Caenorhabditis elegans: one gene and its partners. The protein of the gene in region 2 purifies or fractionates together with the protein of the main gene of each other region. This does not show direct contact. Each region holds a gene or a part of one and is shown on either strand. Other genes may lie near its edges. The genes, in order: slt-1, sax-3, syd-1 and eva-1.

Region 1 (4,942 bases), about 11 Mb from region 2:
TATTTGGAAGAATGTGCATAATTCTTGCAAATGTTAATTTGCCCAATTACATATACTGCAACTTGTTTATTTTTCACTTGTTCTGGATGTTTAAAAAAATTAAAATATATTCATTATTCTTATACCTTTGCACAATTTTTTTTCTAACCACAACACTCTGAACTGACAATTTTTCTTTTACAATTTTTTTCTCGCAATAGTAACAAAAGCTCTTTTCAACAAACGTGTAATATGAGACAATTTATATAGGAAAAATGAAGCAGCGCGCCCTTATTTTTTGTTCTCCCAAATGTGTTCTGTTACTTTGATGAGTGGTTGTTGTTTTTCTTAAAATGGCACTACTGAGAAAAAATACCTTAACATTTATTTAGGTAGGAACCGTAAATTTAATATTTCCATTAATTTTTATTAAAAATGAAGAGTAATTCATAATGTTAGGTTAGGTATTTAAAGGTGATGTAGTGCCAGTGGGGAAGTTGTTAAAAACCATTCCTATGGTCCCAAAACGACCAAATATTATAATAAAAATGTTCAAATTGTTTTTTTTTGAATTTTTTTATTTACTGTCATAAAATGACAATAAACAGTTTTTGCCACTCATAATTTTGGAAGTCGACCAAAAAAAAATTTTTTTTCTACATTTTTTATATAATAATTTTGTTTTAATTATTCGCATTAAAACATTGTAGGGATCTGAACATGCGGCATTGCTTTGGATTTCCTCAAAAGTTCATATTTTTGGAGCACGGCCATGCACTACATGTACCTTTCTTTATATGTGGAGTACCGAAATCTGAGACTTTGTTATGGCCGCTCAACGTTTTTGAAAAAAAGTGTCTATTTTCAGCTAAAATCTCAACTTTTATCAACTTTTCGGTGTCACAGCGGCTGGAACTTAATTTTTATTTGTTGATCATTTTTTAGTGTAGGTCTTCGCAATTAATTACCTTAATTATGTCAATTGGGATGGTTTTTCGGTCAATGCGGGCACAAATATGATACAATTTTGTGCCCGCATCGACCGAAAAAGCATCCCAATAAACGAACTAAAAAGTTGCCAAAATTTGAGATTTTAGCTGAAAAATATACCATTTTTTTTCAACACTTTAAGCGGCCATAACTTTCTTTTGAAAAACATTCTGAACATCTCATTACGAAATTTGGTAGTTTCGGAGTCTTTTGGTCTAAAAAAGCAAAGTCTCAAATTTCGGTACTCCACCTTTAAAACAATTTTGAATCCCCCAATATCGCTTGTGTTTCTCTCGCTAATTATCCAAACAACGAGATTAATAAAGTATTAAGACGACTAACCAATGTGTGAACCCTCGCACATTTTCCCTTCCTCATCTACTTTATCATTCCCGATGAATATTAAATAAGTGCACATGGTAATAGTTAGTATACACACCCATCAGTATAGCTATCTCATCCATCCAATTGTTTTGCTCCGAGACACGAGAACAGAATCTCTTTATCATCATTGTGTTCAATGTCACCCGCCTACCCCATTTCATTCTCATTCTCATCCGGCACACACACACACACACACACACAAGTCTACAACTCTTCTTTTATCTGTCATTTGTGTTGGTTTAAGTGGTGTGTGGAAGATGCACGAAAGTGGGACTTGTCTTCTATCCCAATGTCTCATTATCACACTAAAACATTCGCTCTTTCTAGTTTTCTGCTGCTTCTCTTTTTCTACCCTTCCCGGAAAGTTTTCGTGTCCGTACCCACCCCTATCCCAACTCTTTTTTCCCTCACAACCACCGCCATTCCACACATAAATCGTGTCTCCACGAGGTTGTGTTAATGGACCGGCAGGATGGGAGGACAAGACAAACATCTCATAAAACATTAGTGGACCACCCGCCACTTGTCTAAACTTCATTTTGCAGAACTGAACTACTAATTTCATTGTCCCCAAGGATTTGTGGATGTCGGAATGCTGATTTGCTTCATATTTATTCTACTTATACCTGAAAGTGCCACGTGTCCGGCAGAATGCGTGTGCGTGGACCGAACTGTGTCGTGTGTTGGCCAACAACTCACAGAAGTTCCACAAAATATCCCGAATGATACAATTAGATTGTTAGTTTGCCATGGTTGAAAAAATTATAAATGTTGTTTACAGAGATCTACAAGACAATGAAATAACCAAAATCGGACCGAACGATTTCAGCAGTCTTATGAATTTAAAAGCTTTGTAAGTTTCACTTGGTGTCAGAGTGTCCCTTTTTGGTTTGATCTACGTAGGTCTAGTTGGGAGTTGATACGCAGGGTTCTCAACAGATTTCGCATGGTTAAGAACGTTCTGACGTCACTTTTTGTGGGCCAAAATTTCCAGCATTTTTTGTAGATCAAACCGTGATAGGACAGCCTAAAACCACTCGAATTTTAAAGTTGAACCATTTGAACACTTGAGATAATATCCCTAAGATCAGATCTTGTTTGGGAAAACTGAAAAAAACTCAACTAACGTCTAGTATAACATCATGGCTTCAAATTAATTTTTTTGGCGCAATTTCAATAGAGCAATTTTTGCGATATTTTTGTCGGTTCATATTTGCAACAAGAACACAGCCCTTCACTTTGAAGTACAGTAAATAAAACAAAACAACCCGTTTTTTTTCAATTAAATATTAAATTTCAGACAACTTATGGACAATCAAATTGTCACTATTCACAATCAAAGTTTTAGTTCTCTGGTATTTCTTCAAAAGCTGTAAGTTTCGTAGTCTTGAAAACCAATAAACTCTAGTTTTCAGGCGATTAAGCAGAAATCGTATACGCCATTTACCAGATAACGTGTTTCAGAACAATCTGAAACTTACTCACTTGTACGTTTATTCTTCAAAAAAAAATCAAATTAGTTATTATTTTCATTTTCAGAGACTTGAGTGAAAATGACATAACAGTGGTTTCTGACGCACAACTACAAGGTCCTGAATTTTTGGAAGTCTTGAACTTGGATAAAAATCATATCTTCTGGTAAGTTTTTTTCAATCCGGCTATTCTATTTTCCTTTCTCTTCTTTTAGTCTTGAGAACAATGTGATTTCTTCTTGGGTGTCTCTAGAAGTACTTACACTGAATGGAAACCGATTAACAACATTTGAAGAGCCCTCAAATGCAAGATTCCGACAATTGTAAGTTGCTTGTTTTTGTTTTCAAAAAAGAGCATACCATAGAATGTTTAAAGAAGTTTGCTTTTAAGGGACCTTTTCAATAATCCTTGGAATTGCGATTGCCGTTTGAGATGGATGCGAAAATGGCTAGAAAAAGCAGAGGGGCAGAATAAAACAGTTTGTGCAACTCCACTCAACTTGCAAGGGTCCTCGATAGAAATTCTCCAAGACAAGGTAAATTTTAACTTTGAAGGAAAAAAACGTTGTTAAATATTTTCCAAATTTTCAGTTTATGACGTGTTCCGGAAACCGAAAACGTAGATATAAGAAAACCTGCGAAACTGCGGAAATTTGTCCACTACCATGCACGTGCACTGGAACGACTGTAGATTGTCGGGATTCCGGGTTGACATACGTACCAACAAACCTTCCACCGTCTACCACAGAAATGTAAGTTCTTGTAAATTTTTTTCAAATGAATTGAATAGGTTAACTTATACATGAAATAGGGAAATTTTTGGTTTTATTTTGTGAAGCCTCCCGTGATTTTTGTTTTAAAGTGTTGAAAGTATCAGAGATGTGTGACGCTTTTTTTTTTGAAAATTTACAAAATTCATATTGCTCAAAAATTCCAATTTAAAGTACTTTTTCTAAAGAAAATAGCTTTACGTTTAATTAAAAATTTCGAAAAGTTGCTGTTAATCTGGTTAGAAGTTGCAGAATCTCTTAAAGTTTTTGAGCGTCGTTCTTAAAACTTAAAACTACATCAAGACAACGTATTTCTAGGAAGTTAACAATATTATCTATTTAATTGTCTTAGAAAAAAAAACATTGACTCAACAACAAAAAGAGAACCTGTAAACTTTCCAAGAGTGCCAAGAAGTGTCAAAAAATGTTCTGAAAATTTTTCTTTTGTTTCAGAAGACTCGAACAAAATCAGATTTCATCAATTCCCTCTCACTCCTTCAAAAATCTGAAGAACTTGACACGACTGTAAGTTTATTTTCATCTAGCGTCTTCAGTTTTTGCATCTTTCTGATTTCAGAGATCTGAGCAAAAATATAATCACTGAAATCCAACCGAAAGCGTTTCTCGGTCTTCACAATCTGCACACATTGTGAGTTCATTGGTGTCACTTTTGTTCGAACTCATCAAATTGTATTCCAGAGTGCTCTACGGGAATAATATAACCGACTTGAAATCGGATACTTTCGAGGGACTTGGAAGTTTACAATTATTACTCCTCAATGCCAATCAATTGACGTGCATTCGGAGGGGAACATTTGACCATGTCCCGAAGTTGAGCATGTTGTCATTATATGATAACGATATCAAGTCAATCAGTGAAGTAACATTTCAAAATCTTACCAGCTTGAGTACACTGCATCTTGCCAAGAATCCACTGATTTGTGATTGCAATTTGCAATGGCTGGCGCAAATAAATTTACAGAAGAATATTGAAACAAGTGGAGCAAGATGTGAACAACCCAAACGGCTGAGAAAAAAGAAATTTGCAACTTTACCGCCAAATAAGTTCAAATGCAAAGGTGAGATCAAAAGCAGGAGCGTTGCTTCCTGAAAAAGTTAAACAGAATCTGCGCAATTAGATAAGACAAATGAAATAAACCCGTAGAATACCGCTAATCTACACAGTTTGCCACAAAGCTTTGAACAAGGCTTTTATGCAGGCGCGAAAACACCTTCCTTGCCTCCTGTATAACTCTGCGCGAAACCCGAAAACTGTCGGCCGCTTTGAAAGAACCGCCTTTCGCCATATGTGGTGCAAACACCAAGCCTTTGACGTGAGGTTTGCAG
Region 2 (4,631 bases):
GAGGAGGGCGGCCACGAATTGGAATAATTACTTAACCAGGGAAGGGGGCGACGTATAGCCCCGGCTATCCCCTCATATTCCATGCGGTTTCGTTCCGTATCGAGCCGCTTGCATGACATGGACATCCGTCATCGCCGTGCTCTTGACGCGCATTATTTAGGTTATTTATCTGACAATTATGAGCTTTCTGACGACCTTATTGAGTTGAGAGCTTTGATATGTTCTCGAGTACTTTCTTGTCTAGAATAAAGCGTATTGATTTTTCTTATTCGCCCGCCTGTTGCCAGATAGTTTATCTAATCAGTATTATTCAATCGCTGGCACAACATAAATCGATACTTGTCTCACTCCTCTTTGCGCGTTTATCTCCCCGCGCATTGCACACACACCTTGAAGAGGAAATCTGATGTCTAACATTCTGCGTCTACGCCTTCTAGCAATTCGTCTCAACGGTCCTCATTTTAAATGTTCTGCAAATGCATTTGTACTAAATTGTGATTTGTTTCTTTTTGGTTGTTAGAGAAACAATGAAAGCTTTTTGTATGTATAAAAATTTTGAACCATTTGGTGATGTTGAAAATCCGTTTTTCTTTTAATTTCAAGGTATTTTCCTAATTTTGGCCATTTTGCTGTGTTTGAAGTTTTTAATTTCCATGTTCAAATTGTAGCTATAGTTATTTTATTGATACTCTGGCAAAAATCAAATTTCCCAAGTAAAGTAAAACGCCTATATAGACTTGATGAAGTTCTACTTAGATTGAAACTTCAACGGATTCTTACTACAATCTTGCACAACTCCTGCGTAAAATAAAATTTTGCATAGCTTTTCGGGAGTCTTGTGCAGTTTGAAACAACTCCTGCACACTTCCCAATCTGCCACGAACTTAGTACTAAAGATTTTTTATATTTTTTGTCAGAGTAGGTTTCCTTTTTCAAGTTGCCTTTTCACTACACCAAATTTTGATTACGCCTCGCCGCATTTAAGAAAATCCTTTCAAAATCGACTTGTTCATTTTCTTTCATCTTCTATATCCATCCTTCATCCGTCCTTCTGCGCGTCATCTTTAACCAGTCTCACTACGTTTGCCTCCTAACTTTGCGTCCTCATTTTTTTTGTTGCTTGTCTTCCTGCTGGCTACTTTTGCCTCCCGTGCATTTTTTCTTTATTTTTTTTTGTCCAACATCTTCCGTCGCGTAGAAGACTAAATTTGTTCTTCATTCTAGAATGTGGCTCTCTAGTCCAATTTAGGGTCGGCTTCCGTCCGAATCGCTCCACCACCACCACCACCGAAAATGCGCAAAAACGGACGCACAAATCGTCTTCGCGTCTTGAAAACGACGACGACGACGCTCGTCAACTTTTCAATTACTTTGTTGTGTCTTTTCCTTTTTTCCTTCTAAATCTATTCTCCCGAGTGTCACCCTAGCAAAGATGAATGATTACACCCAGGGCCACGCTTTTTTCGCCCTTTTCCATCTTTTTCCCATCACCTATTTTGTCTTGTTTCTCCTTTTATATTCCCTCATTCTCTTTCCGTCATTTTGTCGCCCACTCTTAAAACAACCGCCAATAACTTTGATTACTTTTGTGTTTTTCTTGCAGGTGTCTCCCAACTGGAAATTCAGAACACCGCCACAATTAGATGCAGCCTTTGAAATTGGACACAGATTGAATAAAACAAGATCATGTTCAATCGAAAAACGCTGTTATGCACTATCCTCCTGGTATTGCAAGCAGTAATCCGAAGCTTCTGCGAAGGTTGGTTTTTTTTTTCTAGAAAAAAAATGTTAAGTTAAGAATGTACCAAAAGTGTCAAGTTACATGGTGAAAAAAACGCGTCGCCAACAAGACACGCTATTCGATCCACTCGTGGGTTTTCTTTGAATTCACTTGGAAACTTGGAAAATCCATTAGGTTGGGTTGTATTTCCCATGTCGAAGAAAGCGATTAAAACGAAGATTGACTGAATGCGCGGAAACGAATGCCCTCCATCTTGGAAAAATGCTCTTTACTCGCTGCTTTTTCTACTCTTGCGCTATTAGACATGACTCTTCATTTTGTCAAACACCAAAAGCGGGTTCGCTGCTTGGATTGTGAGCTCGTTTGCCGACTATAGTGTAAAAAGATTCGATTATCGTTTTGGACTGCCATCTGCCCTCTTGGCCGAGCCAAGCCCCGCTTTTGGATGGTAATGTTGAGAAAACAATAGTGAATAGGACGGGGGGAGAATAAATGGTATAGAAAATGAATGAGAGGAGTTAGTCTCATTGAGGCGCGTGTTCTCAAGTATTCACCATTCAAATGCTAATCTCTTAAAACAATAAGTCTTTTTGTACAGCGACCAGAGCCAGTGTAATTTGCAACGAAAATATAAGAAACAGTTGGGAGCGACCACCCGCAGACTCTCGATATTTGTCTTGTTCCACATTTCCACATTTCCACAATGTAATTTGTGCAATGTGCAAGTCATTATTCAATGTGATAAATTGCCCCAACCTGGGTCATTTAAACATTTTAGCACAGTTTTAAGATGCATGCGAATATCCGTAAAATTGAGAATCATTAGCATGCGGTTGATAGAAGATGAGAAGCTATTTGAAATCCCTCCCCAGAGACTAGTAGGTTATTAATGAGCTGTTGGCGCTGTCCAAAATATTCAGTTGCATCTCATGTTTTAGAAAGACAGCCTGCTTTTTAGCAGAAGCTTTCAACACCAATGTGTTGCGAAAGAATGACGGGCGAATTGTGAAATTGGGTGTTGACAGGATGAGATATGTGTACATCTTCACAGCTCTTTGGTTTTGTCTTGCCTATGGATGAAAAGGCGGGCAGGCAGCGTAGTATAATATTTTGAAGGTTAACACGGCCATTAAATTGTAGCCAGAGTACAATACATTGGTTCATGGATAGTTTACTCGCGTGCGCACATTTTGACACTGGCACGCTAGATTGTTGAAAGGTTAAAGAGGTGACAGAAGAGACAGAAGGACAGCCAGGCTAATTAAATTGTTGAATCCGGCAGCTTGTTAGCCACACTTTGGTCTGGTAATTTACTAGTGGAAAACAACAGTGGTCCGTATTTTGAAGTGGAGGAAAACAAGTCGGCCTGCTGAAATTTTTATTAAGTGTGTGCGCAGCAGTGTCAGGGTGAATGCCATAAACAAGTGATTCAAAATGGCTTTTTGATATTTTTTGAAGCAGATGGGAGAAGATGGGTAATCCGTCGGAGGTCAATGGCAATCTTATGTAATAGACCACCGACACCCAATAAACCAGCCGTTAATGTACTATCTAGGTTTTTACCACACTCACACACACACACACACATACATAAATTTTGATAAAATTCCTAGTGAATCATTTTATTACCTACCGTCCGTCAAGGACAATAGTGTCGCACATCTCTACTGAAAAATCGGTGAGGGAAGGTGTTCGTTTCGACACCATAATACAGATGTGACAGTATTGCGCGTGCCGGATCGGTCAGATTGATTTAATGCACTTGGACAAGTTTCCTTTCTTATTCACATTGTCAAGATGGATAAAATCAAAGTGTTGATGTATGTGGAAATAAGATGAATGGGAGATGAGGAAAGTAAAAAAAATTCTAACAGGGGAATGATGTTGTTTTGAACCTTTTCAAATCTTGAATATAATTTCAGATGCCTCAAATCTCGCTCCCGTGATAATCGAACATCCCATCGATGTGGTGGTATCTAGGGGATCGCCAGCAACCCTCAACTGTGGTGCAAAGCCATCTACCGCCAAAATCACATGGTACAAGGATGGACAGCCCGTAATCACGAATAAGGAGCAAGTGAACAGCCACCGGATTGTTCTCGACACGGGATCCCTGTTTCTTCTGAAAGTGAATAGTGGAAAAAACGGAAAAGACAGCGATGCGGGAGCGTACTATTGTGTGGCCAGCAACGAGCACGGAGAAGTGAAGTCGAACGAAGGATCGTTAAAATTGGCGATGCTTCGCGAAGACTTTCGAGTTCGGCCAAGAACAGTTCAGGTAAAGTTTAATACTTTGAATAATATTACGTATTTTTTCACTTAATCCTGCACTTTTCTACTTTGACAGTTTACCTTATAATCTCTATTACTGCGGCATTTCCATGGCTCAACCCTGACAGTTCGTATCTCGGTCAAATTGGATTTTTTGTAAAAATTTTAACTGAGCACAGTTTTGTTAAATTTCTCTGTAAATTTATTGTTTTTGAACTTCTTAATATCTTCAAAAGCATTCGAGACATATGCTGTCAGTTAAACAGTTGGGGTGCCGCACAAATAGAGAATAAAACGGCATATTCTGAGTCAGTTCAAATATGTCACCTCATTTTTTAGTGTTAAACTACAGAAAAAAAAAATTATCACTATTTTGTCAGTTGAAAATTTTTGGTAACCCCGAAAAACCGAAGATTTGGACCATCAATGTTACAAAAAACTTCATTCGTCAGTTTTTCAAAAACTGTAAACCGCACTGCACAATTTGTCAACGCGATTTTTAGACCATTAAAAAATAATTATTCACAGAAGCGTTACTCAATTGTTTTCAGGCTCTTGGTGGAGAGATGGCCGTTCTGGAATGCAGTCCGCCACGTGGATTCCCGGAGCCGGTTGTGAG
Region 3 (4,740 bases), on a different chromosome or scaffold from region 2:
GTCCTCCGCCTCCTGAAAAAATACCATGTTCAAAATTTAATTTAATGGGTATTTTCTGCTGAGAACCTATATTTTCTTAAATCGTCTAACAAAAATTCAAAGACTCACCGGGAGGCGGTTGACTGGCATTCATGCGACTGCGTGAGGCGGTCTGAAAAATAGAACGTTAAATAAATAAATTGATTAATAGTGGCAACGTTATTGAACACTTAATGTTTTAAAACACGAAAGAGTTTTGGTGGGGGTGGTTGGCGTACCCCTTACATGCACATGAAGGCACAACGGGCGGTCCAGAGTCCGAGCAATGAATGCTTTGGGTTAGAAAGGACATTGAAAGTAGAAATAGAGGAAGATGGAGAGATAGAGAGATAGAGAGTCCTAAAACTACACACAAAAATTAATGGGTCCTTTTTCGCGTGGCTAGTCCTGCAATCTCCCAAAACTTTTTGGTTTATCAAAAAGAAAACCGGCAGATAGAAGTTCCTGAATGAAAGGAGCAATGATGTTATTCACGAATAGCGCAGAAAAAGGAAATGAATGAGAGAGAGTTGAATGGAGAGTGAGAGAACTAATAATTTCAGGAAGCAGATGGAAAAGCTGTTGTTTTGTGTCCAGGATGAATTTCGAAAACAAATACGCGGGTATACTCGAATACTCAAATGGTTTCACTTTCAGAAACGCAAATAAAACCGCTATAAGTGTGAGAGACAACAGAAAGTCGTTAAAAGTGAATGGATCTAGCAATAAAGTTATGAAATTTTATTCGACTTTAAATACATTTTTTTGAGTTTCTTCGAGAAAAAAGGGTTGTGTGAATAGTTGATAAAAGTTGATTATCTTTCACAAAAGAATGTTCAGATCTTTATTTTGATGTCTTTTTGTTAATAAAACCAAAGGCATTCGAGATACAAGCCGTCAGAGTAGAGCAATATGGGTACAAATTTAATAGGAAATCACCATTTTTATCATACTTTGAGAACAGTTTTTTTTTAATTTTATATTAGTTGTTCATAATGTTCAAGGAATTTAAATTAGAAAATATACAGGATATTATTTTATATGTATGTATATCAACTTCAAATTTTCCAGCATACTTCTAGATTATAATAGTTCACAAGACGTTTACATCAATTTATTCTGGTGTGTCTTCATAATCTAGGTTCAAAACACTTTACCCCCACTCGAACATTTTCACTTAACCCAAAAAATTCAGGGATTAGCTAATGTTCTCACGGGGGACTTGAAGTCCGAGTGTGCATTCATTCAAAAAAATAGAGCAGAAGAGGGGGACTAGAAAAAAGAAAGAAATCAGTGAGCTCCCGACGCCCTTTTGCTACTGCTACTTGCGGTGTCTAAAACTTAGTGGAATAGAAAAAAGAAATGAGGGAAGAAGTAGAAGAAGAAGAAAACGGCGATGGAATGGAGAAGGAAGAGACTGGTGATGGCGACGACGGCTTCTCCTTCTTCGTCGGAGCTTCGTCGGTGGCCTCGTCGCCATCCGTCTATCGATCTCGTTTCCTTTTAGTTTCGAGTGGGCACACACATATACACACACAAGTCGCCGTTGCTCTCTCGTCTCCGCGCAGTTCAGATAGACGGCATAGAAATTTGTGATACGCAGAGGGAGATAGAGCGGACCAAGTTGAGCCAACGGCTACTAGCTTCTTCTTCGTCCTCTTCTTTATACTTCTCCATCTCTCCTCTTGTTTCCCATAGTAGTAGCCGCTGTTGAGTCACTCTCTGGGAGACATGCTCTTTCGTTGCTCATGCACAAAACGACGTCCCCCCCCCCGTAGATTTCGAATCAAGTTCAGCTCACACCAAACGACATCGACCCTCTTCGTCTTCTTCCGCAAAGACTTCTCATTATTATATTTAAAATGTACCCACATCAAGGATTACCATAGAAGACGAATGAGAATATATATTAGAACTTGAATCACATTGAAACACTTTCTAAGACATACATATTAATTAATATATATATGTGTGGTTAATTGAAAGTTTTCAAACTTATGGCAATGATTTTCAATTCATTGTGTCCTATTATATTTAACCATTATAAAGAAACTGATTAAAACACTTTGTTTTGTTGTAATGAAAGAATTCTAGATTTAGTTCGAAATTTAAATGTGGTATTAGGATCTCCTTAAATATATACACAACATTTTGGAATTTTTTACAACTGTTCCTTTTCCAGTCTTCGTTCAGCTTTCAAGTTCAACAACTTTCATAAGACACATCAAAAACCATATTTCAGAAATTAAAACATTTTTTTACTTTACCTGTTCACCTTCATCAGGATTTTGAGTTTTCCAACAATACATGTTTGTAGAAAAATAAATATAAGTGAGAAAACAGGAAAAGAAGAAAAAACGAAGGTAGTAGTAACAAAACGCATAAAGATTTATACCGTGGCAACTGATTCTATGGATACACGAGAAGAAACATAGGAATTGGGTATTGAGAAGCTGAGGGGAAAAAGGTTTGTCGGGATGTTCGAGCCGAAAGTAGTTCTTCTTTTTCTCCTCTTTTAAGGGAAAGAGTGCACTGATGCGAGAAGATTAGACACCATCGAAATTGAATTTCTCAAGAACTACGGCAATCGAGTTTCCCCACTTTTTTTTCCGACCGCCTGCCATGCACAACAGAAATAAATAAATAAAAAGAAAAGAAACTGATGAGTGAGATACCTGATCGACTGGAGAACAACAACACAGTAATCTGCATAACCAACAGCAGCAACATTCGTTTTGTGGTTCTTCTGTGTAAAGGTAGGTTGGTGGATATGGCATTCCTGAAATGAAATATAAATTTTATTGTTCTTCCGGAAGTCTGCTTTCATTTTTATTCACACATTATTGGGGGTCAGTCAACAATAATGAGCACAACGTTATTTATTTATAAGGGTGACATATATCCAAATGAACATTGACCCTTCCTTTATTACCAAACATACCTTTTGGTGGATTGGTGCCACCGAATCCGTTGGATGTTAACATTGTCAAGAACTTTAAACTTGTGGATATGAGCATAACTCTGTACATATTTAATTTGAAGCAATAGAAGTGTCATATGTTTGAATTATAATTGAAAACATTTATTCAAAAAATAGTTTTCAATAATTTTCAGTAAGAGCCAATCAGACGAAGTGTGCGACGAAGTTAGAAGTTTGGTCTGAAGGTGGGCGTGGCATCTCATTTTAAAGAAAATTCAAAAAGACAATTTTTGCCGAATTAAAAAAAACAAGTTTTCAAAAGTTTAACTTTTCATTCTTTCTGAATTTGTTCGTTTTTGATGATATTTCGGAGTTTGGACAATTTCTAGTGTTTAAAAAATCCTCCATTTATACTACCCCACATTTGAAACGGAATTCATCCACCTTTAAAAGGTAATTTAACGGTTATTGAAAAGGAAAACAATGCCATTTATTTTTCAATTACAGTTTTTAATAGCCAAACCTCTATTTCTACAATGGAGAGGATATGAAACAGCGTTTAAAACAGAATGAAACAAAAAAAACAAGAGAATAAGAATCTCAATCTAGAATATGTTGTTATAGTGACACAAAAGAGACAGATGACATCTCATAAAACATTTCAAATGCAAAATGGACTCAAATGAAACATGAGAAATTATAAGGTTGATGACACGTTTCAGAGTATTTAACGAAAAGTCAATAAAAGGAGGGACCTTCTTCTCCTCTTCGTTGTTTAGTGAAAAACCGAATCGAAAATGGCGTATACTATGAATAATAGCAGGAAATTTGGAGCAATGGAAATTGGCGAGACTGACTGGATATGCGGGCAATGGAGAGAAAACAAAAGAAATGAAAAAGGAACTGAATATATGGGATGAGAACGAGACTACATAATTCTCTCATGTCCGTTCAATGATCGATTTGAATCGGAAAATCGTTTAATTGGAGTTTGAACGAAATCGAATGAGCCCTCAGCTTTTCAACTAAAATCGAAGAAAAGATGGGAAGAATCTGAAAAGCCAAGTGATGGATGTTTCGGGCGCATCTAGAAAAATGAGTTTTCGTAAAATCGGAGAATGAAGTCTTTTTTTTTGAATGAGATATTTGTGTACTTTTGAAATTGAAGATCTTAAATTTACGAGTTTTTCTTTCCAATAGCCTTTTTAGCCCTTTTAGCTCTGTATTACTAGCTACTTTTTTAATCACTTACTTGAAGGTATCGCCGGTTGGGAAGTTGTTTAAAACCTTCATATATTTCTAACATGACCAAATGCCATAGTACTACTTTTCGGAAAAACATTTATTTCAATTACTTGTATTTGCATATATACATAGTAGAACCAGGTACAACCACGCGAAAACGCTGAAAATTTTTCAAAGAGCCACAGCTTTAAGTCAATTTGGCATTTAACCAAGATTTAAACATTTTCAAAATCTAAATACTTTCATAAAATTTATAATGATTTTGAGTGATTTTAAATTTTTTCATCAGTTTATTTGCATCAAATTCCCACCACCGCTACCCCACAGTTAAAATGTCAAAATGAATTTGGTCAACTTTACAGAAAAAAAAGTTTGCATTAATTTTTTTGTTCATTAACAAAAAATTTCAGATTTACATAATTATCTTTTGGTAGTTGATTCCTCTACTCGTATATGCACCTCCATAGTGAGTTATTTTGTAGGTTTAAGATACATGAATGTACTTTTTTAAAGACTTTAAAGTCAACAATAAAATGATTGGTTTTATATTTTCACAG
Region 4 (7,431 bases), on a different chromosome or scaffold from region 2:
TCTACCCTGATCTGGGATTTTTGTGAGTGTTAAGACTATGTCTACCGAAAAACTACATGGTTTTTTGTTTCAGCTTCCTACCTATGAATCTTGACGCGGCATTACATTCTGTTCTGGCTCTGAATGGGTCTATAAATTGTTTTATTTTCTATGCAATGTCTATACAATACCGAACAACTGTAAAGCATATTTGGATAAAAGTCAATGTTGAAGGTAGAGTAGCAACTATCAGCAATGGATTGCATCGTCTTTAATTGATTCGAATATATCCTCGTCGGCAATGCCAGATATTTTAAGCAAGATACTGCCTTGCGATGCACCATGTTAAAATGAAGTGTTTTATTATTCTCAGTTGACGTGTAAATTCGCCCTGAATTTGCTAAAATGTGTCTATCAACTGAATCATTATTTGTGACTTTAAAATGTTTTACTGAAACAATTTTTATATCGAAAGCAATGATTTCCAACAATTAGAAGTGACTAGATGAACCCGTAGAAGTAAGACAAGAGTTATGGATGTGAGAGGAATTAGATTTAAAAATCATAGTGACTATAATGTGGATTGGATGTTGCTGCGGAACCCATCGAAAATCGGAGGAACTGCTCGTCTTCAATGTCTTGCATCATGTGCTGTGGAGTGATTGAGCCACCATCTAGAGGTATAGCGAAATTGCAATATATGTAAAGGTTGTAAAGTACTTACAATTACTTGACACCAATTTGCTAGTCTCCAGTGACCTTCTACTTCTGCTTCTCCTTGAGCTCCTCGAACTATCCTTGTTTGAGGAACACAGTCGAGTGATGATACACGCGGAGAGCACAACAATTGCAGCCATACTCACGGCTAACACAATACACATGACCGCCTTCTCTTTGTTTTCTGAAATCTAGGATGATTTTCTGAGAATTATTTGAAACTCATACCTTTAAAGAACTGAACAACTTGAAGAAGATCGTGCCCAACACCCACTAGGTTTGGTTCCACTCTTTCCGTTATTGGAGGAGGATCTTGCTTTTCCATTCGATACTCGTCATGGGTTACATAGGAAGCTACAAATTGAAAGTTATATAATATCAGTTTAGTGAAAAAAAGCGATACCATCGTTAGCAATTTGATGTACATCGGGATCCTTAGCCGGCTCACTATCCACCACTCTTTCCCACTGTGTCTTATCATTGACATCCTTGAAAAATCGTTCGTCATCCTGTTTTTGCATTGCGTCGGCTTCCTGAAAATTATTTTGAGAAACAGTTTTCAAAAACAGCGTGCCCTCTATTAATATGGCACTTCTGTTAGTTTTGCCCATCTAACAGAGTTGCGCCATCTTTTTTAAAAAAAGTATTGTATGATTTAATGATAGAGGAAATACTATTACTGAAGCGTATGCTGTTAAATTTTAATCGAAAATGTTAATTAACCGGACGGACCTTCAAATAAGTTTCCAATGAGGTCAGCTCGCCTTTGATGGCCTCCTCTGAGAATATCTCCTCGTTAACTGAAAATATTCTACATTATCCTTAAACTTGATCTGTTTTATTACCACAAACATAAACGACATGAAGATGCCCATGTCTGCAATGACCTTTTATGCCATCACTTTTTAGTGTGCACCCTTCCTTGGCGTGGCATTGACGAAGTACTTGAGGTAAGACGTCTGAGACGCATTCTGAAATTTTTTTGATTAAATAGTAAACGATAATTCTATTTTTCCTTCCACACTATAGTTTTTCAAAAAATTCGATACAATGAGAGTCTTGACATCTTTCCCATTTTCCGTCAATTCGTACCAAACGGAAATCCTACTTTAGTATTCACCCTTCTCGTGTGTTCCTCCTCCACCACCATCCCATTTCATTTTGAACCCAAAGCCCCGGATCTTCAGAAGACAATTGTCAGAGTGTTTTCTGGCTACGTCTCTTGCTAACCAGTACTATCTTACTTTTAGCTCATCGGGAGGCTCAATGGAATGGATAGAAGAAGAAGATGAGGCTAATTGGATGTGTGTCATCAACTCACAATGGGAAGAATGAGAACAATTGCGAAACAGTGAAAGTATCAGAAAAGAGGAAATAGAGAAAAGGTGAAGCACCTCAAGCTCTGCATTTTATCAGAAAGCATAATTTGTTTAATTGGTCTTTGTGGTTCTGTTTGACAAAATATCTTTAAAAACTTTTCAACTTACCATGTCTAATTTCGGTTTCGGGATCACATTGAGGCGATGTCTTCATTTGTGCGGAATACACAGCCAACCGTCTACCTTCCCTACACTCTAAACGAATCTCTGGACGAGGTGGATCAGTGGGCTTTGGAGTACAAAATGTTTCCTCATCGAAAGACATTGGAATGCAACCATATGCCATCTGAAGATATTTTGAAGTTGTTGGGCACGGATCATCTTCAAATGTGTTTGAATCTACGACAACTGTACATTTTCGGCGCTTATCGCAAAGTTCCGATATTCTCTGAAACTTATGATTTCAATTGACGAGTGTTTGGCATTGATTTACCGTATGAGCTTGTATCACATCACAAGTACTTGAGTGATGGATCATTGATAATGGATCTAGATTAGCTTCGGAATGCTTTCTTCCAGCCTGTGGAGGGCATAATTGGTTTTCTGGGACCACGCGGCCATAAAACCTGAAAACTTGTTGAATGAATCTAGGATAGATTGATAATTTTACAAACCCGGTTTGTACAGAAATCTGTGTATTTCTTGGGCAGCTTAACGTGATTCGTTCTCCATCGCAAGCTTGAACTCTATTGGATCGAAGTGACTCTCTGAGGATTCCTGCAAAAATGATTGTATTTTTGATTTTAAATTCCTCCGCAAAAATTTTTTAGAAAAAAGCGGTTCGTTTTCGTTTCGGTCCCTCTCGATCACACTCGCTGGTGTGAAGGTCACCAGGTACTAAAACTGAGAGTGACTGAGTAAACGGAGTGAATTAGTCGGTGTCAGCGTGCGAAAGAAAAGAGAGGTCATAAAATGGACCCCCATAAAGTTTTTGAAAAACGTCCGATACTTTGGGCATAAGTGTGTGTGAAAGTTTTGCGAAAAATGGAATAAACTGACCATGACTCCTTGTTGAACTATGAATTGCTATTAGTTTGAACAAAGTTACCATATTAAATTATTTCAGCACTTTCAAGTTTTGCCCTAAACAGCTAGCACAGTTTCGAATCTTCGAAGATACATCTTGTGAGCAAATAATAATGTTTATCGACAATAAGCAAAGCTTCACTTTTAATTTCCAAGCAAATCATTCCACCTTATCCTTTTTCAATTCAACTAGCAATTAGTAATATCTTGAACAACAGCAGCTGGCGGCTTGCTGATTCCTCTTTTTCCTTGATTTCTCTTTAAAAAACGACACCTAGCAATTAACAGAGAGGAGAACAGGCAATATCCAATCTGGCTTCTTAAGAAATAAGAAAGCATCAGTTCCAATTATGCGCTGTGCTTAGTGAACTGGAAAAAACAGCGGCATGCGAAACCTACCCAGGCGAGCCCGAACAAGTAGAGCTGCTGAAAATTATCGGTTTTGTGGGGTTGCAAATTTTCAGATAAACTTTTGTTTTGGAATATATATATATATAAATTTTCTTGTCGAATGCCGTAGTACATGACTTATTAAATATGTGCATCTTTCATTTGCTATGATATATATCTTTTTGCGCAAAATCGACTACATTAAAATAAATTTTTAGAATAAATTATTGGCATTTAGAGTTTGTTGGGTTATTTCTAAGGCTTAGTAAGTTTAGCAAGTAACTTTTGCGGTGTCCCTCCGCATTTTCCCACGTAAATTCAGCACAAGCTAAAGTTATGCTGCTTCAAAAGGCAGGTGTGCTCTCACGCAAAGAGAGCAACCGAGGAGGCATGTTCCGGTGGCAAATGGAAATGGGCTCGTATTTCAAGTATTGGAATGGATTGGAATTGCCAAAATGTTTATGTATTTCTACGGATCTGCTGCTGCCAATCAGAACAAAATAAGGAATTTGCCAAAATTACGTTCAATAAAATCTCAAGCTATAGTTAAACATTTTCTTTTCGTAATAACGTTCATGATTTGACATTTAGTTTCATTTGTTTTTTTTTTCTATTTCTCGTTTACCGCTGAGCTCTCTGCTCTCGCGGAAGCTGTCAATTGATACATAGCCATTAGCTCCCTGGGTTCTCAGCATGACCACGTAAAAACCCTCTCCGTGTGGTGATAATGTTGCTCTGAGAGCAGCGGGCGAGCTTTTCTCTTTTTACACACTCGACACGCATGTTGTGGGGGGCTCGGAAGCTGAATGAGCACTTTTTTACGGGAGGATTTCGAAATGTTTATTATTTTTACAAGGTGGTAGTAAAATTCGATTGCAACATCCCAACTTTGAAATTCTCAATAATTCTCGAAGATGATGTCCATTTTGTTTAGAGGAAGCTGAGTGGATACTCCTCTTCATCATCATCATGTTCATGTCATGACCCACTAGATATAGAAAAGAGACATTTGTTTATAACATTGTGCACTTAACTATGCTTATTACGCCTTCTGCTGCTATGCATCCGGAAAAGAGGAAGGCAACAGACCCCCCGGGTAAGGGATAAACGGGTGAAGGGGGACACACACTCACTTTATACAATTATGGAATTACGGGGGGCCTCTCTTGGAGCTAGAGCAGTAGAACGCAAGGGCGGAAAAGGAATTGTTGCTAATGGAGATCTTCGGAAAGGAAATGGAGGTTTCGAATTTTCGACGAACTCTATTTCATTGTACTTGAATTACTCTTATTCAAGCCCCTTGTTATTAAAGGTGGAGTAGCAACAGTGTGGAAAGTGTTAAAAAACTACTACAATGGTACCAAAATAACCGAAGATCATAATAAAACTTTCCAATATTTATTTGAACATATTTTATTTACTGTCAAAAAGTGACAATTACTGTTATTTCCACTCATAATTTTGGAAGTGGACCAGAATAATTTTTTTTTCCTGCATTTTTTATACTTTGATTTTGTTTTAATTATTTGTATCAAAAAGTTGTAGGGGTGGAAACATGCGACACATTGGATTTCCTCAAAAGCTCATATTTTTCAAAATTTTAATCATTATAAGTGTATTTAGACAATACCTTTAAGAAGATGAATTCAATACTAGAAGTTAGGAAATTTCTGACCTACAAATTTCAACTCATCATGCGAGGTATAATAATAGCTACGCAATAAAAATGACGGCGCGAATAGATCATCATCTTGATGAGTGATGAATGTGTTCGTTTAGCGATAGGTTTCTACTTCAAAAAACGCCTTTCAAAAGGAAGAAGGCTGGGAAAGTATAAGTTTCAAGTAGAAAAAAAAAAAAACAAACCTTCGATTGGATTAACTTCATGATGATGTGATCCACCAATAAATCCGCTTTTCAATTTACCATCAGTTACGATAATTCCAAACCAAAATAAGAGCAAAACCGGGGAAACTATATGCATATTCATGACAATTCACATGGGAAGCTGTAAAATTATTTTTAACTCCTTGGAAAAGTTAAATAAAAGTATGACAATAACAATATGAGAACAAAAATCACATAGGTTAGCTGTCAGCCTTGACGAAAAGAAAACGGGACACTCTGAAGAAGCAGAGGGACATGCAAAAAGGGGGTGGGGTTTCCCAAGCCACGCCTCGTTGCCGAAACTGAACTGAGAGAACGATAATCATATTTGAAGGTGTCAAAAACGGTTGTCAACAACAAAAAATGGAGAAAAGGAGATCAGTTGACTACTCTCCTCCCGGAGCACCGCCTTGATGTTGCAGGTGTTGGGAAGATATTTGGGGGAGAGGCAACTGGGAGGAGGGGACAAATTGTTGTGAGTGTAGTACACACCCTATTGCTGTTGTACACAATAAAATCGAATGGAATGCACATTTCGGAGAAGATCAGCAAAAAGTTGGTTACTAGGCAAGGATAAGAATAAGGGGTGTGTGGCAAATATGCCGAAGTTGCCGAGCTCGGCAAGTTTGGAAATTTGTCGCACACATGAAAAATGTTTAATACACATTTTGTACAAAGTTAGATATAAAACCAATATACTTATTTTTTGGGGGAAAATGTCAAATTATCCTACTCACCAATTTCTTTTCTAATAATAATTACAAATTCATCAATTACAAAACTCCTCTATTGTTCTCCCTAATTTCATGTACACCTGCCCATAGTCCCGCAAATTATTAGACTTCAGCGTGAGAAACTGAAAAACCAAGTTGCTTTCGGTGCCCAGCAGTACAACAAAAGCCTAATCGCCCCAGGCGGAGCATGGGGATGAGCTAACCTTTTTCGCCCTTTAGTGGTGTACTCATCCTTTGAAATATGTAGTACAGAGATGAACATCATGACAATAGTCAATTAGTATGCAAATGAGAGTAAGTACTTGAGAATAGTGAGGAAAGTGAGGCATAATCTATGTATTGACCAGAATATATTTTAGCTAGTGTAAAAGAGTATTAAATAACTGTTAATAAGATACATGGAAATTAAATTCAGAATTTCAAATATTTTGGACTTTTTATAATGAAAATACCATTCTGCCATAATGGTTGAATAAAATTGGTTATTAGTCCTTGTTCCTTAAAACCATAGGAAATCCAAAATCATATAGTAAGCATTCGTGAAGGTAATCCGTTGCGCTCTTTGTTGTTCGATTCCCTTTTCCCTTCCCCCTCACCCATTCCATTTTCTATTCAAAAAGTGGTAATCGGATTTTCAGACACATGCCGACGATTCAGGAGAAAACGGCTTTATGAATGAAAAAGAAACGCACCGCCGCCGTGCATTTTAGTCTCTGAGCTCACAAGTGTTGGCTGCAAAGGAGACGGGAAACGGCGATGAGAATAGAAGTTTAAATGTAAAATAAAATAAAAGAAGGGAATGTGAATGACAAGTGTGCTCTTGTCAATATCAGATGTTATTCTTAAAATATAATTTTTTTTGAAAACCAAAAACAAACGCATGTATTTTAAAAAATCTGCATAAACATCCATATCAGGGGTGGGCGGCAATTGCCGTTCTGCAAATCAGCAAATTGCCGGATTGCCAATTTGCCGGAAATTTTCAATTCCGGCAAAATGCCGTTTGCCGGAAATGTTTAGAGGGATTTTTTTATAATTGGGAAACACTTAAAACTGTACCTTTTTGAAATTTTTTCCGTTTTCTTTAGATATTTTCATAGAATTCGCTTACTTTTCAAAAAAGGCGTAGGGACATTCATAGGATGCGTACAATTTTTCCCATTGAAATTGAAGTTCTGGAATTTCCGAAAAAAAATGTAGAAAACCACAATTTGCCGAAAAGTTTCGGCAAATTCGGCAAATTGGCAATTTGCAAGAAGTTTTCAATTTTTTCGGCACATTGCCGATTTGCCGTCCACCCCTGATCAATATGAGCATAC

The links.
Region 1: the proteins of sax-3 (region 2) and slt-1 purify together in Caenorhabditis elegans (affinity purification with western blotting; 2 studies listed by BioGRID, with this or other methods). This does not show direct contact.
Region 3: the proteins of sax-3 (region 2) and syd-1 purify together in Caenorhabditis elegans (affinity purification with western blotting, with the first as the bait; one study listed by BioGRID). This does not show direct contact.
Region 4: the proteins of sax-3 (region 2) and eva-1 purify together in Caenorhabditis elegans (affinity purification with western blotting, with the first as the bait; one study listed by BioGRID). This does not show direct contact.

What each region holds. Positions count from the first base shown.
Region 1 is NC_003284.9:14,672,430-14,677,371, forward strand, and holds the start of slt-1 (Slit homolog 1 protein), read left to right. Parts: upstream 1-1,898; 5' UTR 1,899-1,945; coding exon 1,946-2,091; intron 2,092-2,134; coding exon 2,135-2,206; intron 2,207-2,653; coding exon 2,654-2,725; intron 2,726-2,768; coding exon 2,769-2,840; intron 2,841-2,892; coding exon 2,893-2,991; intron 2,992-3,040; coding exon 3,041-3,148; intron 3,149-3,216; coding exon 3,217-3,361; intron 3,362-3,416; coding exon 3,417-3,577; intron 3,578-4,048; coding exon 4,049-4,120; intron 4,121-4,172; coding exon 4,173-4,244; intron 4,245-4,294; coding exon 4,295-4,674; intron 4,675-4,942. UniProt on the Caenorhabditis elegans protein: Functions as a ligand for sax-3 receptor during larval development. Acts via the sax-3/Robo receptor to direct ventral axon guidance and guidance at the midline during embryonic development.
Region 2 is NC_003284.9:3,462,898-3,467,528, reverse strand, and holds the start of sax-3 (Protein sax-3), read left to right. Parts: upstream 1-1,601; 5' UTR 1,602-1,643; coding exon of another isoform or gene 1,644-1,673; 5' UTR 1,674-1,686; coding exon 1,687-1,759; intron 1,760-3,663; coding exon 3,664-4,019; intron 4,020-4,563; coding exon 4,564-4,631. UniProt on the Caenorhabditis elegans protein: Required to confine migrating sex myoblasts to the ventral muscle quadrants during their migration through the body and for multiple aspects of sensory, motor, and interneuron axon guidance.
Region 3 is NC_003280.10:7,591,874-7,596,613, forward strand, and holds the start of syd-1 (Rho GTPase-activating protein syd-1), read right to left. Parts: upstream 3,040-4,740; 5' UTR 3,036-3,039; coding exon 2,960-3,035; intron 2,798-2,959; coding exon 2,694-2,797; intron 1,715-2,693; exon of another isoform or gene 1,436-1,714; intron 368-1,435; exon of another isoform or gene 222-367; intron 152-221; coding exon 109-151; intron 13-108; coding exon 1-12.
Region 4 is NC_003279.8:14,829,341-14,836,771, forward strand, and holds eva-1 (SUEL-type lectin domain-containing protein), read right to left. Parts: upstream 5,482-7,431; coding exon 5,358-5,481; intron 3,528-5,357; coding exon 3,501-3,527; exon of another isoform or gene 2,793-3,500; coding exon 2,690-2,792; intron 2,642-2,689; coding exon 2,509-2,641; intron 2,464-2,508; coding exon 2,184-2,463; intron 2,049-2,183; exon of another isoform or gene 1,931-2,048; intron 1,668-1,930; coding exon 1,542-1,667; intron 1,497-1,541; coding exon 1,429-1,496; intron 1,230-1,428; coding exon 1,100-1,229; intron 1,051-1,099; coding exon 925-1,050; intron 881-924; coding exon 704-880; intron 654-703; coding exon 535-653; downstream 1-534. UniProt on the Caenorhabditis elegans protein: Acts as a receptor for slt-1. Required for the guidance of the AVM pioneer axon to the ventral nerve cord.